Arabidopsis thaliana: one gene and its partners. The protein of the gene in region 1 interacts with the protein of each later gene in a pairwise test. Each region holds a gene or a part of one and is shown in the gene's direction. Other genes may lie near its edges. The genes, in order: FRU, AGL44, BHLH100 and BNQ3.

Evidence for each region.
Region 2: the proteins of FRU (region 1) and AGL44 interact in binary tests that used the Arabidopsis thaliana proteins (3 or more experiments, as listed by UniProt).
Region 3: the proteins of FRU (region 1) and BHLH100 interact in binary tests that used the Arabidopsis thaliana proteins (3 or more experiments, as listed by UniProt).
Region 4: the proteins of FRU (region 1) and BNQ3 interact in binary tests that used the Arabidopsis thaliana proteins (3 or more experiments, as listed by UniProt).

What each region holds. Positions count from the first base shown.
Region 1 is NC_003071.7:12,002,923-12,006,794, forward strand, and holds FRU (FER-like regulator of iron uptake), read left to right. Parts: upstream 1-1,735; 5' UTR 1,736-1,790; coding exon 1,791-2,267; intron 2,268-2,348; coding exon 2,349-2,549; intron 2,550-2,624; coding exon 2,625-2,801; intron 2,802-2,884; coding exon 2,885-2,986; 3' UTR 2,987-3,073; coding exon of another isoform or gene 3,074-3,081; 3' UTR 3,082-3,354; downstream 3,355-3,872. Other genes in the region: ATCHX7 (Cation/hydrogen exchanger family protein), read right to left, coding at 3,449-3,872. UniProt on the Arabidopsis thaliana protein: Transcription factor. Essential protein involved in iron uptake responses. Regulates FRO2 at the level of mRNA accumulation and IRT1 at the level of protein accumulation. Confers enhanced iron mobilization responses at low iron supply.
Region 2 is NC_003071.7:6,016,878-6,024,372, forward strand, and holds AGL44 (AGAMOUS-like 44), read left to right. Parts: upstream 1-1,680; 5' UTR 1,681-1,761; intron 1,762-1,931; 5' UTR 1,932-1,963; coding exon 1,964-2,148; intron 2,149-4,282; coding exon 4,283-4,361; intron 4,362-5,648; coding exon 5,649-5,710; intron 5,711-5,920; coding exon 5,921-6,020; intron 6,021-6,126; coding exon 6,127-6,168; intron 6,169-6,281; coding exon 6,282-6,365; intron 6,366-6,462; coding exon 6,463-6,599; intron 6,600-6,668; coding exon 6,669-6,687; 3' UTR 6,688-6,692; coding exon of another isoform or gene 6,693-6,708; 3' UTR 6,709-6,986; downstream 6,987-7,495. UniProt on the Arabidopsis thaliana protein: Probable transcription factor. Required for root plasticity in response to nitrate, NO(3)(-). Promotes lateral root growth in a NRT1.1-dependent manner.
Region 3 is NC_003071.7:17,197,494-17,201,261, reverse strand, and holds BHLH100 (basic helix-loop-helix protein 100), read left to right. Parts: upstream 1-1,807; 5' UTR 1,808-1,941; coding exon 1,942-2,223; intron 2,224-2,484; coding exon 2,485-2,931; 3' UTR 2,932-3,225; downstream 3,226-3,768. Other genes in the region: AT2G41250 (Haloacid dehalogenase-like hydrolase (HAD) superfamily protein), read left to right, coding at 1-2, 104-277, 371-400. UniProt on the Arabidopsis thaliana protein: Plays a role in metal homeostasis. Confers tolerance to high zinc (Zn) and nickel (Ni).
Region 4 is NC_003074.8:17,588,968-17,592,197, forward strand, and holds BNQ3 (BANQUO 3), read left to right. Parts: upstream 1-1,576; 5' UTR 1,577-1,761; coding exon 1,762-1,890; intron 1,891-2,338; coding exon 2,339-2,488; 3' UTR 2,489-2,703; downstream 2,704-3,230. UniProt on the Arabidopsis thaliana protein: Atypical and probable non DNA-binding bHLH transcription factor that integrates multiple signaling pathways to regulate cell elongation and plant development.

The sequences.
Region 1 (3,872 bases):
TTCTAAAGATGTGATAGGTACAGCAAAATTGTATTTGTTCCAAATGTCAATTAGTGAAGAAAAGAAAAAGAGTTGTCATATTTGTTGGAGTACTGAAAGATAATCATGTGGCAAAAAAAAAACGAAATAGGAAGAATTTCAGTAAAAATTATGCTAGCTTCACATGTATCAAATATATTTGAACCAAAGTATGCCATATTCATGAATTGTTTTTACAACAATTTTTATTTGTTTTAAACTCTAGAGGCTATATGTGAAAAAAAATTTTACAGCAAAAATAAGATTATATCAGAAACATTACAGACCGAAATTTACAGCCACGATCTAACCAAACATCTACTAAATTGACATAATAGCATTATTCAAATATTTATTTGGAAATTGGTTGATGTTTTTGAAAGTTGTGGAGTATCCCAAAAATCCAATGTTGCTCAAAAGTTCAGTTTCTCTAATAAATTCAACACCTAGATGGAATCTATAATTGGTTGACTTTTTTTTTTTTTTTTTTTTTACAGTTATATACCTGAAAAAATATTCCAACTTGAAATATTATAAAGAGTTGATTTTTGTCCTAACCGGCCAAGACTTTAATATTTTATACTGTCTTTCTTTGCTATCCTTTGTTTGTTTGTTGAGACAAGAACGAAAACCGTGCATTGAACAGGCTTCTTCATAATTTAATTGCGGTTTATCCTTAAATGATTTGAAAAATGGAAATGCATTTATCAAAAATAAAAGAAAATAATTGAAATGCTATTATATTCCAGAGTTGGTTTGTTATTTGAAAATTATGCTGGTTTAAGTTTATATTTGAAATTAATTTTGGCCGTTTTTCTACAAAACATATTTATCATATTGGAGTACTTTTTAAATACACTAACATAAAAATGTTGAGAAAAACTTTTGTTAAAATTCTAGCTTGTGACAACTAAACCAGTTGACATCTACAGTTGTAATAAGCCGATTGCAAATTAATTCCTAACATTTTAATAAACAAGAATATATGTGGATCTAAATTCAAAAATATAAACAGTACACTAACATTTGTACGTCTAATATCGTAGTAAACTTTTACTTATGAACACCTTTTTAATACGGTCTGATCGATTTATTTATTTATATAACCAAAACTCATATATATTCATAAACTAAATTATATAGTAACAGGATATATTATGAGCTTAATATACATGCTATATGCCTATATAAGGTCTTAATAACCAAAACTCATAATAATGTATTCATAAACTAAATTATATAGTAATATTTTTGGTATATTTTATAACTTTAAAAAACTCTAAATATTTGTGGTATTTTTGAAAATGGATAAAAATGATATTTTTGGAAAGTAGTATAATTTTAAAAAACTTCTCCCAATAAAGACATGACCAAAAATGTGTGTTATTTCTATATATATTTTTTTTTTTTTTTGATCAACATATACTCTTGTTTCTAATCTGCATTCCCTCCACCACAAAAAAAAATTCAAATGATAAAATATAAAGAAGAACAATGTGGAAATATAATTGTCATGCAACACGACAAATTAATCATTCGAGTAACATAATTTATACATATAATATACAGGTCATGCATGACATTACAAGACGTAACTGAATAAACTAATATCAACCAACTATCAAGAGTACATTTCTTTAAATTTGTTTTAATTGATTTCTTAACTTATTATGTTAATTAATACAGTTTATTTCATACTCACTCTATTATATAAACTCATTTTGTCTCTCTTTCGTTGTCAACAACTTTTCTTCATTGACAAAAACACACAAATGGAAGGAAGAGTCAACGCTCTGTCAAACATAAACGATCTCGAACTTCACAATTTCTTGGTCGATCCAAACTTCGATCAGTTCATAAACCTCATAAGAGGAGATCATCAAACCATTGACGAAAACCCAGTTCTTGATTTCGATCTTGGTCCATTACAAAACAGCCCCTGTTTCATAGACGAGAACCAGTTCATCCCAACACCTGTCGATGACCTCTTCGACGAATTGCCTGACTTAGACTCCAACGTTGCTGAATCATTCCGTAGCTTCGACGGTGATAGTGTTAGAGCCGGTGGTGAAGAAGATGAAGAAGATTACAACGACGGTGATGATTCTTCAGCCACTACTACGAATAATGATGGGACCCGTAAGACGAAGACTGATCGGTCTAGGACTTTGATCTCTGAGAGAAGAAGGAGAGGGCGTATGAAGGATAAGCTTTATGCATTGAGATCTCTTGTTCCCAATATTACTAAGGTAAGTCACAACATTTTCAAGATTTGGTAATGACTAATGAAACTGTAAATATTGATGAAGTATGTGTGTGTTGGCATTTAGATGGATAAAGCATCCATTGTTGGAGATGCAGTGTTGTATGTTCAAGAACTTCAGTCACAAGCGAAGAAACTCAAATCCGATATCGCGGGTCTTGAAGCTTCTTTAAACTCTACTGGAGGGTACCAAGAACATGCTCCTGATGCTCAAAAGACTCAACCTTTTCGCGGTATCAATCCTCCTGCTTCCAAAAAAATCATTCAGGTAATAACCTAAAAAAACCAATCAATCTTCTTGAAACATCAAAGTGTTTAAAGTTTGTATGTTTTGTTGTGTTAGATGGATGTTATACAAGTGGAGGAGAAAGGGTTTTATGTGAGATTGGTGTGTAACAAAGGAGAAGGTGTTGCTCCATCTCTTTACAAGTCTTTGGAGTCTCTTACAAGTTTCCAAGTGCAGAACTCTAACCTAAGCTCTCCTTCTCCGGACACATACCTCTTAACATATACCTTAGATGTAAATCAACTTGTGCCCTTTTACTTTGTTTTGTTTCCGAGTATACCGTTTACTTACCGAGTTTTCTTGTGTGGTGGAAACAGGGGACATGCTTCGAACAGAGCTTAAACTTGCCTAACCTGAAGCTGTGGATCACTGGATCACTTTTAAATCAAGGTTTTGAATTCATCAAGTCATTTACTTGATTCTATAACGCTTGCTCTAACGTGAGTCAAATCCGGTTCTGCACTATATTGATTGTGTACCTTTCTTACATGTTTCATAACTTCCAGGGCTCTAATTTCTATTCTAGTGATGATGTAACCGAGATTGTTGATTCTCTATTGAATAAACACCATGTTATATAGTAATTTAGCGACAAATTGTATGGTTAAATGAAGTAATATTTATGTTTTGTTTATAGTCTCAAGTCTTAAGTTTCTTTTGCTTTGATATATCACGTTTTGGTTCATTGGCTGTATTATTGCTTTGTTGTTGCAAGACCATTCACATCTTGATTCTATGTATTGTTCTCTGTTTGATTGGTAAAAGAATAAAGAATTTTAACCCCGAGAAAGCAGTACAGACGACCTATATGGATCGCCGACTCAACTCTAGGAACCTAATTTGTGCTTTGGATATTCATAACATGGTAAAACAAAAAGATTCTAATATTGTTGCTGTTGCAAGACCAAGACAGATGCCCTTGAAGGAAACTCCTTTGACGCTATAACATCTCCGAGGGCTCCAAGTTCCTCGAACTCTGTCCATTCATTTAATCCTTTTGTAACTGCGCTATTCATTCCGCTACTTCTTCCAACTATAAACAAATCATAATCATACGCTATTGATCTAAGTATCACTGAAGTCTCAGCCCCTTCTTTGACGCTTTTTTCTATACATATCCATGAATCATTTTCATTTGAATCCTCAGTCTTCATTATCTCTTTTATGTCATCGTAATCCAACTTCTGCACCGAGTCTTCGCTTTCCTCGGTAGTAAGTTGAGGTATGAGGTGTAAGATGGTTACGCTTGTCTGCTTGTTTCTCCTCATACGGTTGGTGAATGCTAAGGCTTCTTTATCGTCTTTC
Region 2 (7,495 bases), 6.0 Mb from region 1:
GTATATGGTAAACCTCCACTTTTAAGCTAGCTTTTGGGTGTGAGTTAGGCCCATACTGATACTCTCAGTCTCTCATTACATTAAATTTTACTTAGTTTTTGTATCCAATATATTTAAAGTTTATATCCAAGAGATCACTAAACTCAAGGAAAATTTAACAACTAGAAAATTATTAGACCTTATCATGAATTCTTTCCAGCCTCAGTAATAAAACAAATGTCGTTACAGAGAGTCAATTTTTGAACTGGTTTTAGATTTTGCTCATACATCCAATACAATGACCTTCACATGTCCTAGTGATGACATGTGATATAAGTCACTGAGTCTCACATCCACGCAATCTAAATTATTTCTTTAATTCTAGCATAAAGATCCTATCCTGGTTACCAATGGGTTTCAAATACCCAACTGTTGTTTGAACTGTCAAAATAGTGTCATCCTTTAGATCCCTAAATAAATATAATGGATGGACTACTCGACCGTTAAAAAATTCAATAGATAAATCGAACCATATTCGATCCGAATTACCTTTTGTTATCTTAAGCTTTTTTTTTGTTTTTTTTTTTGGCATTTTGGACCTTTAAATTTAACAAATAATCATACTTATAAATTATCTAAGAACAAAGTTGTTATAGTTAAATCATTTATGAGTAGTAAACATATTCATGACAATGATGTAGAAATATTTATACATACTCAATGTAATAAGTGAAATAAAAATTCATTCAAGATCAAGAAAAATTAAAATATGAATGGAGAATCCAATACCAACTAGATTAAAGAACAAGGTTGTAAAACGATTCATGAGTAGTGTCACATTCATGAAATTAATATATAAAATTTTACATTGACAGAAAAAATATAAAAATTAAAAAACAATAAGGAATTTAAAAAATATATACTCAACATGTAATATATATATGTAAAATAAAATCACACTAAAATGGTATCCTCGATTGTATAGAAACTTCCAAATTTCTAAACGGATGCAATAAGAACTTACATATTCTCTTTCATTAGTCATTTATTGGCCAGATTTATTAAAAAAAGTTTTACTCAATGACCAAGGATTAGAGTTAAAGATAATATAGATTATTACATATATTATTCGAAAAAATATACGCATGTCCGACTTTTTAAACCTCAAAAATATCAAAACCAGAAAAGATGATACCACACAAAAAAACAATAAAATAATAAGTGGAAGAGATATCATCGGACAACAGTACAAGTACAGCACCAGCTCTGCCAAAAGCCAAAACCATTTGTCAATTACAGAAAGATACTATTGTTTGCAATTACTAAATTACCCCTCGGACTTTACAAAAGCATCTCTAACTTATCCACGTGTCAGTCATCTATTGATTGTTTCAATACCACCTTGTATTAACGCCCCACGATTCGTGGTTGGGTACACCTGATAGTCCGAGGATATTTAAATCTCACGCGCTCGTGTCTATAATTCGACTGTACTCGCTTTTCTTGTCGTGATTTTAGCAATTTACGAAGTCAAATGTTTGACTCAATCAGACTTGCGCATAAGAGAGCGAGTATAAATGTTTACTATACTCACGCAAGTGGGGCTTTATTGAAACTACTCTTTTGTAATAAAACCAGCAGTGGTTTTGTTCTGAATCCGCTCTCTTGCCATATATACCACAAACAGAAACCACAGAAGATATCTTTTGAGAAGGAAAAAAAAAAAGAAGCTTCTCCTCTTCCTCTGCCTTCTTCTTTCCATTTATTGCAAACCCTGATCAAGTAAGTCAAATCTTCACGAACACATATGTATATAAATTCAATCCAAGAAACTAGGAGAAATCTATGAAAGAGGACAAATCTAAGTCAAGTTTGAATCAGGAAGATTATCTAGATTTGATCATTTTGACATTTACGATGTGCTTACTTATTCTTGATAAACTTTGATGCAGTTGGTTTTGGTGTTAGTCTTTTGGGGAGAGAGATGGGGAGAGGGAAGATAGTTATACGAAGGATCGATAACTCTACAAGTAGACAAGTGACTTTCTCCAAGAGAAGGAGTGGTTTGCTTAAGAAAGCTAAAGAGTTATCGATCCTTTGTGATGCAGAAGTTGGTGTTATCATATTCTCTAGCACCGGAAAGCTCTACGACTACGCAAGCAATTCAAGGTTAGCTTCTTTACTTCCTTAGTACAAGTCAATGAAGTAATTTTGCATTTGTCTTGCCTGTTAGATTCCTCAGTTCTCTTGATCCCAAGACATGTGTGTGTATATACAATTGTCACTAATGATAATGTCTCATCGTTACACACTTTTTGTCTCTCTCTCTTTTTTTTTTTGTCTAAGTATTAGTTTCTCGATAGGGTTATAGCACATGTTTAGCTATTTTGAACGATGATTTTTGATGTTTGTTTCTCCTTCGTTTTTTCAAATCAAACTTAAATTATTATATATCTTTAGATAGGCTTTAGTTTATCTTACACACATTGATTTGAATACAGACGATATATCCATGTAAGACTTGCATAGCAAATTATGATTTGAACATTCTTAACTTCAAATTATTTTATTTCCCTCATAGCTTTCGATAAGTATATGCACGTGTATCTATGTTTGTTGCAAGTGCATCAAGATAAATGGTTACTGATTTATGCCTTGCTAAGTGTTCAATTATAGAAAGAACATGAACCAGTACTATATACAGATCAAAAAAATTATTTCTACTTCTTCACTATGTGATGTATACAGACTATATTGATTAGAATTGTTTGTATTTTACTCTATCTACATTTTCACCTTTTATTATAATTGATTTGAATTCGTAATATGTCACATATATGTGACCATGTGCTATTTGATAAAATTTGAACTTGAAAAGATTAGTTTGTGGTTTTCTTTCATATAATATAGAACAAAAAGCATTTGATTCTGTGTTTTAACAAGTGTTTAAAAAAATACATTTTCCAATTTTGTATAAGCTAAGTATGTAATGTAAGTACATAATTAAAGAAAAGACATTCATGCGCATTTCCCTGAAATTTCTGTCTAAAAAATATATATGTCTCTAATATTTATACTTCAAAAATCTGTAAGATATATATATTTCATTCATCACTATATTTTATGTCCCTGATATTATTCTTTCATTATATTTATTTCCCTCATAGCTTTCTTATATATATATTCAATTTGTATATATATTTCAAAAATATTAGAGACATATATATGCTAAAATGAAAGATTCATCTACTTTTACAGTAAATAAAAAACAGGAGAAAAACATTCATCTGAAATCTAAATATTTAACAACAATTTATAAGAAATATATATGTCTCTAATATTTTGGAAGGTAAATGAATTGAATTAAATGTATGTAGTTTTTTCATTCTTTTGTTTTGATGATCATACTTCATTCATCATTTAAATATAAAATTAGTAGTCAAAATGTTTGTGTGAAATCTAAGATAATAAGAAAGGAATGAAAGAATTCCTTTTGCTCGAAACCACCTTTTGGAGAAGGTCAAGGAGCGAAGCGAAACTAACCTATTGTGGGTTGATTTATCGATCAATAAAACGAGTAAGAGGGAAGATGCTGGAGCATGGATTCCCAATCTAGATAATGAAATTTGTTCTAATCACCCACAATGTCGTCGGTACAAACCGTGAACGTGTACGGACAAAAAAGAATAGATTGTCCACTTCTTTCTCTTAAGTTAATACCTTCTTGTGTGTGTGTGTGTGTGTGGTGTTTGTACACTTAGTTTCTCTTATGTGTAGACTTCCGTGCAGGTACTTACAAAAATATCGAAATATTTTAGTAAGTCTAAAATAGAATGAATTTTGTAAATGGCTATATATGCGGAGACTTATTTACGATATATATATGGTGGTAGAATTGTAAGTAAGTTTGATGTATTTTGGCTTGTGTCTGAAATATACAAAATAACATGTTATTTTCTTAAAACACTTGCATCTTTCATGTCATACGTTGCTTTTACATCCGTACTTACTTTTTTTGTTAGTAATATTACGATATTTCTATATATGTTCGAACTATTGTTGTAGCCTTGTAGGTGCTCAAACGATATAGGTAGACAAACTTCATGCATATACTGGAATTGGCATTGTAAAACTTGTATCTATCTTATATAATTGATATCAAAATTCACAAATTTTAAAAAATAATTCAAACGACAAATTTGAGTTACTTAAGTTATATTACTTACTGTTGTCTGTTGAGTTAATTTTAATATGTTAATTAATGTATGATTAATAACATTGTTATCTTTTCGAACCTGAATAGTATGAAAACAATCATTGAGCGGTACAACAGAGTAAAAGAGGAGCAGCATCAACTTCTGAATCATGCCTCAGAGATAAAGGTATTCATAGTAAAGATTTTTACCTTTTTCTCTAAATTATAATTTATCTCATTAGGATGATAAACTTCTGAATGAACCCACATTCTTTTTAGGTTTTTCAAATGATTGTTTTTCTGTTTTTTTTTTATAATTAAATAAATTTATTAATTAAATGGAAGATTTTTTTAAATAGCGTTCTGAAAACATTTATAAAACATACATAAAAGAAACTAACCAAATAATTTTTGATTTAATAATTGATGCTTTCAAATTTGTAACTGAAAACAAAAATTGATGATTTCAATTTTTTTTAAATATAATATTAAATTATTTTTAAAAAATAAATAAACGTTTATACATATGAATGCAAAAAACTTTTTTAAAAAATCAAATAGATACTATCGACAGTGTTATCTCGTCGAAGCAAACCACGTTTGGATCCCGCCTTTGTATTTCTCACAACCCCCTCTCCTTGTTGTGAGCTTAATCGGTTCTTGATGTTTCTATGCTATATATCTAGAATCTTCTTAATATCGGTTTAACTGTTTCGAATAACTACATAAGCTCTGATTTTTTGCTACAAAAATGAAAAATCGTTTTTAGTTTATAAAATTAATATTAATAAAAACTATATTTTTTAATTGTAACAAAGAGGCTGATATATACGGTATCAAAGCAATCAAAAGAAAAATACAATTTCTTTGACCATATTAGCTGTAGCCTGTAGTTATGATAATTAGTTTAAGGTAACAAATTTATTGTCTTACTGATCTAAATGCTTGCACGAACATACCAAGATTAATATAATGGTTTAAAGAGCCATCATCTCGAATATGGACATATTATGGATAACAATTGCTCATTTTAGAAAAAACAAGGGACCTTAATTAGTACATAAGATAAATGGACAAATGCTTTGCTAATTGGTTTTGAGTTGAAAGCTTATATCATAATATTTTATATAAATAAAGTCTCATAATTTCAATTTAGTTAGTTTTAATCTTTCCCATTTTCTGCTACATAATCAACCTATTTTGAAACCCTAAAAACTTCTATATTTCTAGAAGTATCTAAATAGTTTGTGATTTGTGAGTTGATGATCATTAACGAGATTGTTTCTATTTTTTAAAAAGCTTAGCTTATAATGATTGCTAATTAAATTAATCGAACATCTACACATATGATCGTCCATGAGTCTAAGAACATGAAGCTCTGGTTTGAGGCAACCAATATATAGTTGTTATGACTAGGGCCACTTTAATATATTCATTTACATTCACATCATTAGTTTTCTCTTTATGTTATCAGTTTTGGCAAAGAGAGGTTGCAAGTTTGCAGCAGCAGCTCCAATATCTACAAGAATGCCACAGGTAAGAGCTATTGCACATGTCAAAACAGAAACTGAGTATTATAAGATACAATATACTAATCTAATCTCGCTACTTATTTACAAAAACTATCAATTATATATAAGAAATTGCAAGTAAAAACAAATAGATTTTGACCGAAGAGCTAGCATGTTAAACAAATTATATTTCACTCCCAAATGCATTATAAAATTAACCTATAATACTATGAAGGAAACTAGTGGGAGAGGAACTTTCTGGAATGAATGCTAACGACCTACAAAACCTTGAAGACCAGCTAGTAACAAGTCTAAAAGGTGTTCGTCTCAAAAAGGTATGGTTTTAAGGAACATTTTATACAAACATATTTTGGACAAAGATTATTGGTGCCTCTCTTTCACTGCCATACTATTTGGACAACTAATTATTCTCTTTTGTAGGATCAACTTATGACAAATGAAATCAGAGAACTTAATCGTAAGGTTTGTTAGCCAAATAATCAAAATATGTTCTTTTGGGGTTAATAAGAAGATTGACAATGTTTGATGATTTTTTTTTTTCATCTTTAAACCAACAATGTTTGATTCTATTACAGGGACAAATCATCCAAAAAGAGAATCACGAGCTACAAAATATTGTAGATATAATGCGTAAGGAAAATATTAAATTGCAAAAGAAGGTGACACAAATGCTTTTATTTAGATAAAAAAAAAATGTTTATGTAGAAACATTTCTTGATCATGTTAACCTAATTAAACACTTGTCGTGGCCAACAGGTTCATGGAAGAACAAATGCGATTGAAGGCAATTCAAGTGTAGATCCAATAAGCAATGGAACCACAACATATGCACCACCGCAACTTCAACTCATACAACTACAACCAGCTCCTAGAGAAAAATCAATCAGACTAGGGTAAGTTTTCTCACTCAACCAGTAAATCTATAAACTAAGCTTATAGACTTATAGTTCTTAATTTTATAGAATATGTCTGAATCTTTGAATTAGGCTACAACTTTCCTAGCAAAACATGTGGGACATCGAACAATATACGAAAAGAGTTTGTATGTCATCTTCAGTAACAACCAAGCTGGATCATTTCATTCTTGGTTATGTAATTCTGTTTACTACTTTGGAGTTTAATATGTATATGACAAGTTTCTCTTTGTCAAGTTACTTGTGTATGTACATCATAAAATAATGATGTGATGTGAGTGCCGAACATACTAGACATCATTTTACCGTGTGTTTTTTTCGGGTACATTAAATCTACAAAATCCAGTCTAATTGGCATTTTTATACAAAGTGAACAAATAGAGATTGATGTATGAGAAGAAGTTTCTTGTCCTTATTCACAGTAGCCTTTACATTGTTATATAGGTAAGAGACGATATCTACTTTCCTAAAGAGATACAAATCAAAATCAATTCACAGTAAATGTGATTGATATTGGAGCGTATCACATTGATACGTTAGGATACGCTATTACCCCCTCCCAAGCTGGTGCGTGGAGATCAAGAATGCCCAGCTTGCTGCGAAATAGCTCATATGCTTGTCGTCCTAACGGTTTCGTAAAAATGTCGGCTAGCTGTTGAGTTGTGGAAACATGATGTGGAGACATGGTTCCTTTTTGTATTTCACACGAACAACATGACAGTCATTCTCGATGTGCTTGGTACGTTCATGAAAGACTGGATTAGTACTTATGTAGATCGCTGCTTTGCTATCACAGAAAATGTTCATCGGTTGATCATGACGAACACCCATTGATAGAAGTACCTTCTTTATCCATAATAGTTCATCTCGAAGAT
Region 3 (3,768 bases), 5.2 Mb from region 1:
AAGTAAGATAACCTCTTTTCGTTTATATATTTTTGTTGATGATCCGAAACGTTTTGGGAGTGAGTGTGTAAATACTTAAGGTTTTTGGTTGAATGTTTAACAGGTTGAAGCGGAAAAACCAAACCCGACTATCTTCTTAAAAGCTTGTGAGTTATTAGAAGTGAATCCCGAGGATGCGGTTCATGTAGGAGATGACCGTAGGAATGATGTATGGGGAGCTAGAGACGCAGGCTGTGACGCTTGGCTCTGGGGAAGTGAAGTTACGTCATTTAAACAGGTAAACGAATCTCTCTGGTTTTGCTCAAATCTCTCAAGAATTTAAAAATCATTGGTTTACTTGAAATGAATGTGCTTTTGTTTTGTTCTGCAGGTTGCTCAACGGATAGGAGTGAAGGTCTGAAGCAAAAGCATATGAGAGAAATGGTTCAGAGACATGTTCAGACTTCAGTTTTAGCTTCTTCTTTTTTTGTGTGAGCAGTTTTGTATATTCCATTTCTCTTTTGTAGCATAATGTGTGTAATATATGTTGCGGCTAATGTAGAAAACCAGAAAACAATGTATAATAAAAGATCAATAATAAGCTTCATGATCGTTCTTAATCCGAACCGAAGTGTTGTACTGTTTTCGACATTTGCTTATAAAAGAAGGAGAATTGAGTTCTTTAAATATGTGATCAAGAAGAGATCAAGAAAAATGGAAATTTAGAGTTGAACCTAGGCAACGTATGGACAATACCAAAAGTTGCCAACATATCAATGGATAAATCTAATCAAACTGTATCTGTGATTATTGTGGGTTGTATTTTAACATTATGTTCATAATTGTTGACAAATAGTCAAATACTTCACATTTTAGAGATTATCTACATATAATGGGCTACAAACATGTAAACTCATTGCAAAAAAAAGAAAAAGAAAAAGCAATTATCTTAGGGCCAATTGTTTTTAGAGAAGCCCATTTAGATCTTTGGATTTAAAGAGGCGTAAATAGAATGAGGAAAAATCCAAAATATCTCCGTCTCTCTTTTATCCTCGTCCATGGATAATAGAATAGAATCAAGGCTTTTGGCCTGACCGAGATGACCGGAGTTGACTTGTGTAATATGATCAGAAAGGCTATAATATAATACAAAATAAACGATAGACACTACACCATATAAGATGTAATTAATAAATTTAAATAAGGAATATACATTTGTTAAATATTTGTAAACACTTAATGCCTACGTATATACTACATAGAAATGGTTGGATTCAGGAGAAAAGCCTTAACATATTCCACGTGATTTGCTCGTGCCTCTCAATAGTCCACGTCCACCAAACCCGTGTATCCTCGTGTACTTCTTCTCAGTGTCTGTCTCTTTTCTTCCAGCTGCGTCATAATTCATATTTTTGGTCTTAGTTTACTTAACGTATTTGTGGTAGAAAAATGTGATTGCATATTCTGTATCTTCTTATAGTAGTTGTTCCTATTTAACTGTTATTTTTTGCTAACTAAATAATTTGCTTAATAAATCGAATTTCTATTTTGACACATTATAAAATATTTAGAATTTTTGATTAATACTCATACATTCATATTCATGTAATTATACGATACAATAGTGTAAACTTATGTTATAAATTACGATAAGAACATTAGGATATTAATGCCTGTATCCGGAGGTCAACAGGTGATCCTTGGAACATGCTCCTACTTGGGGGAAAAGTGCTCAACCACGTGTCAACGCATGTCCACTCGTGACCCAATGTATTTTAATTTATTACATATACAACACAGAGTCATTAGTATTTTTCTTGTGTCCGTGTGTGTGTATCAGTGTATATATAAACAAAAATGAGTGTCCACATAAATAATCCAACTAACACATCAGCATAATCCCAACCGAAACAGCTTCTAGAGAGAGACAAAAAAGAACAGAGTAACTATCTAAAACTCAAAATGTGTGCACTTGTCCCTCCATTATATCCCAATTTCGGCTGGCCTTGCGGAGATCATAGCTTCTATGAAACCGACGACGTATCCAACACGTTTCTTGATTTTCCGTTGCCGGACTTGACGGTGACTCATGAGAATGTGTCGTCTGAGAATAACAGAACATTACTAGACAATCCCGTGGTGATGAAGAAGCTTAATCACAACGCGAGTGAACGTGAGCGTCGCAAGAAGATCAACACAATGTTCTCATCTCTTCGTTCTTGTCTTCCTCCCACCAATCAAACGGTAACTGTTAATTCTATATACTTTTCTATTTCTAAAATTATGAAAAAATTTGAAAGTTTAGTTTAATATTCAACAGAAACAAAAAAATATCAAATGTTTTCTTGCAAATGCTAAAAGTTGTTATTCATTGCTTTTGCAATTTTGGTGTTGATACAAACAGTGATATGTTTTGTTTTTTCTAACGCAAAGAAGGAAAAAAAAATCGGTCCCAAGTAACATAAACTGAAAGATCTGTCCTATTTTTTATGTATTTTCTTGCAGAAGAAGTTAAGTGTTTCGGCAACAGTTTCACAAGCATTGAAGTACATACCAGAGCTGCAAGAGCAAGTTAAAAAGCTCATGAAGAAGAAAGAAGAGCTCTCGTTTCAAATTTCGGGTCAAAGAGATCTCGTTTACACCGACCAAAACAGTAAGTCAGAGGAAGGGGTTACAAGCTATGCGTCGACAGTTTCTTCGACTAGGCTCAGTGAGACTGAAGTGATGGTCCAAATTTCATCGTTACAGACTGAAAAATGTTCGTTTGGGAATGTCTTGAGTGGTGTAGAAGAAGATGGGTTGGTTCTTGTGGGTGCTTCATCTTCAAGGTCTCATGGAGAGCGACTCTTTTACTCTATGCATCTTCAGATAAAAAATGGCCAGGTGAATTCCGAAGAATTAGGTGATAGATTGTTGTACTTGTACGAGAAATGTGGACACTCGTTTACATGATTTAATAATTAACGATGCTATATATATTTTTTCTGTTTTGTCTCTCGTTAAAATTCGAGGTTCTTTTTAGAAATAGGTTTTTTTTTTGTATATTAATTTTAATATATTATATTATTTTGGCGAAATGAAAGTTTCACGGGCAAACGTTTTGGTACCGATTTGGAAGGAGAACAACGCGAACATGGGTTGTGTGCAACAGTGTAAAGGTTTATATATCTGTGTATATTTTATGAGGATTTGTCATCTCACATCTGTGGTTACACACCGATGTCATATGTGGACACTAATTATCTGAAAGTCTTTAACAAAAAAATCATCTGAAGTCATTTTTTTAACCTTTCGTATTCAATTTTTTTCCGTTTGATTCGGCAAAATTACATATTTAAAAACCCTGAAATCAAAACAGAAGCACATAACTTATGGATGGTGAATCAGTGTTTAAAAACACATAATAATCTTCCCAATTATCAAGCCTGCCTGATCTAAAATTAGGTGAATGATCGCTTTTGGGCCTTAATTGGAAGAATAATTTTGGCCCATTTTGTTTCAAATAAATACTAAGGCATATTTGTTTGCACCAAAAAAAAAAAAAACAAGCATATTTGTAAATTAAAAATAATATCCTAATAAAATACCTAATCTTATTTTCAAATTTAGTTTTTAGTGTCTTAAATTTTAACATGATCGATTATATTACCTAGCTATGTAATTTATAATATACAAAGAAAACCAAAAGATCTTCGAAATGTTTAAGTCTTTCTTTCTAGTTTGTCTTACCATAAATTCTTTAACCAAAAACTGCAAAGGGAATAACTTTTCTGGGTCGACTGCATCAAC
Region 4 (3,230 bases), on another chromosome or scaffold:
TCTTAAAACTGTAAATAAAATCAAATGAAAATGTAAAATAAAATAATAAAAAAATGTAAAACAATCCACATATGAAAAAAAAATCTATTACTAGATTAAATCTAATAACGATTTAAAAATAGACAATACGTGTTCGGAATTTGGAATCAAAGTCCAATTTTCTCTTCTAACTTCTTAATTAAAAAACAAACTTTTAGTTTACAATTTATTTAATGAATTAAATTAAAAATATATTTTTTCTCAATTGTTGGTGTAACCATAATTAACTAATGGAATTTTTTGGAGAAAATATTAATTACTTCAATAAAACGAATGTTATTTATTATCTAAATATAAAGATATTACATGATGGGAAGAGAGACGGGTTACCATATAGTTTGATACCTAGACAAATTTCTGTCTGTAGACTATAAAATTATTTATAGGAATCATTTCCATTGATTAGAAATTCTTGAGATATAGTGATAAAATTGTCAGATCTAAATGGATAAATAATCGAGCGCTTGATTGATTATTCCAAATTTGCAATATATTAATCAACTGATTGATGCCCATGGTATACAAATAAAAATGGAAGAAAGACCAAACTAAGGTACACTCAAAATGGAAAAGACTGATATTAGAATTGTTTAATTTCATCTCTAATAAAACTAAATCAACTTAATTATTTATGTTTGTCTGTACATGCTCAAATTAGTATATGTACTAGATCAAGTATGTAACTATATAAATAAATTAATCTTGCAATATAACTATAGAAGTTGATTAACATTTCCAGGAGTTAATCCTAATTTTACAGTTCTTGGATTAATTAAGATATCATACAAACTAATCATAATTTGTAGTCTAGTACCAAAGTTTGTATTATCACCAATTCCAGAATTTATGCAAGTTTGCCGATAAGTATGACAAACATGCATACATATTCTCTTTGTCTTATAAACCCAAAATGTTTTAGTATACTCTATTCGTGCCAAAAAAAAATATGAAAGAAGGTATCCTCCAACTATAATCAAACATCACCTTTTAAATGATTTACTAAAATGGCACAAGATCACTCTTGTTCTGAAGTTGGTTACTAGTGAAACATATATAGAAAAATGAAAACTGGATTAGCAAAAAAAATAATGTGGAATTAAAATGAATTTTAATCTTCTATTTTATAATGAATTGTAATTGGATAAATGGAAATGTTTTTCCTATATAAGTTTAAAAACATAACGAGACGAAAATTTTCTACCGTTAACAACAAAGATGTTCTTGCAAATAAGATAAGCGTTTTTTTATTGCACAAATATATCTATAAATTTTAGATAAAATATAAATTCTTACCCATTGAGATTTGCATAATACTATTCAGAGTGTTTTTTTTCCCTTTCGTTAAAGACTACTAGTCAGAGTGTTAATCTAGTAATTCACCAATTAATTTAACTATACTTAAAAATATTACAGTTTTTAGGAAACATGCTAGAAAAAACATATATAATTTTGCAATTATATTATTCCATGCATACACATGTAGAGCCAAAAACGGAGAAAAATCTTCTATATAAACACAAGTTGAAACCATTCATGTTTATTTTAAGCAGTTGCAGTAGACTCTTCCACTTCTGTATTCAATTCTTCCTTCTTTTTTCTCTTATAATATAAATAACATACAAAGAAAATACTTGCACTCACAAATATTGATTAAAGTTAATTAGTGAACCCTAAGATTTATAAATCTCTAGCTATACTCTACCATATCATATATATTACATAATGTCTAGCAGAAAATCACGTTCAAGACAAACTGGAGCTTCCATGATCACGGATGAACAAATCAACGATCTTGTCCTCCAGCTTCATCGGCTTCTCCCCGAACTTGCTAACAACAGACGCTCTGGAAAGGTACAACGTTCTAATCAATTTTTCATTATGATTCCTTTTAAAAAATTTAATTTCCTCTTTCAAACCTTAAATCTTTTCTAAACCTTTTTAAATCTTCCTTGGATTAGTAGTGGGTACTTAAAAGAACAAACCTCCGGTTTAAAAAAAATAAAAATAATAACTAATATATATCCTCCATCAAAGTTTAACAGTAATTCTTTCATCTTTCTGTTGTTGCAAACAAACGAGAGTCTTTAGTTAGAATTATAAATAAATATTAAACTAATATTCCATATATTCCAATATTGCATGTATGTATTGATTCATTTGATTGTGATGCATTTTGTGACGAGTGCTAAATTTTAATTTCCAAACTAATCGACAATAAATAGCATGCTGCATGCATGATAATTAAATTGTTAATTATATATAAGATCCTTCTTCTTATCAATATATTGGTTACTTTCAGGTTTCAGCATCAAGGGTATTACAAGAGACATGCAGTTACATAAGGAACTTGAGCAAAGAAGTGGATGATCTTAGTGAAAGATTGTCTCAACTTTTGGAATCAACTGATTCAGCTCAAGCTGCACTAATCCGAAGTTTGCTTATGCAGTAGAATTAGTGCAATAAACGAAGGATATTTTTTTCTTTTCTTTTTTTTGAAAAAATGTCTTCTCAGTTTTAATTCCCCTTCTTATTGTATTTATAATGTCTGGCAGCTTGTGTCCCCTGTTAATTATGCAATGTTTTATTTTTAATATATGTAGGGTTTTGTTTTTGTCAGTTGTTGAACGAAGCAAATGGTTTGGGTTTACGTTCACATTATTTAAGGCAACACACTCAATATATGGGCTTAGGTATTTCTTAGATTCTAGGCATTCCAACCAAATCCATCACATTTTAGTAGCAAAAACATTGATTAAATTTTGAATTTACGAGAAGAACAATGTTTTCTAGTGTCATGCATATACGATTATAACGGTGTTTTTGTAGTTAATATCGATAGGAACTAAACTAACGCAAGTCAAATTTTCTGATCAAAATTAGTCGTTAATTTCGCTTAATGGTATAAAGTATATTTTAAGAAGGAATAAAATATGCTAATAAGCCCCCACGGTTTCCATTTCTGGTAACAAGAATACCATTCAACGTCTCGATCAGCAGCAACGTTGAATCGTTGATATCTATATATAGAAGTATAGAACCAAGGGGTAATTTGGTCATTCCAGTTCTAACCCACTTCTATTACAAGAGCAGTTTACTACGTAAAAACGACCGGCCTTCCACTTTCCCGAAAACAGCCAGCGCCCGCACGTAGAGATTTACTGCATATTCAGTTTTCAGTAAATAAATAGTCC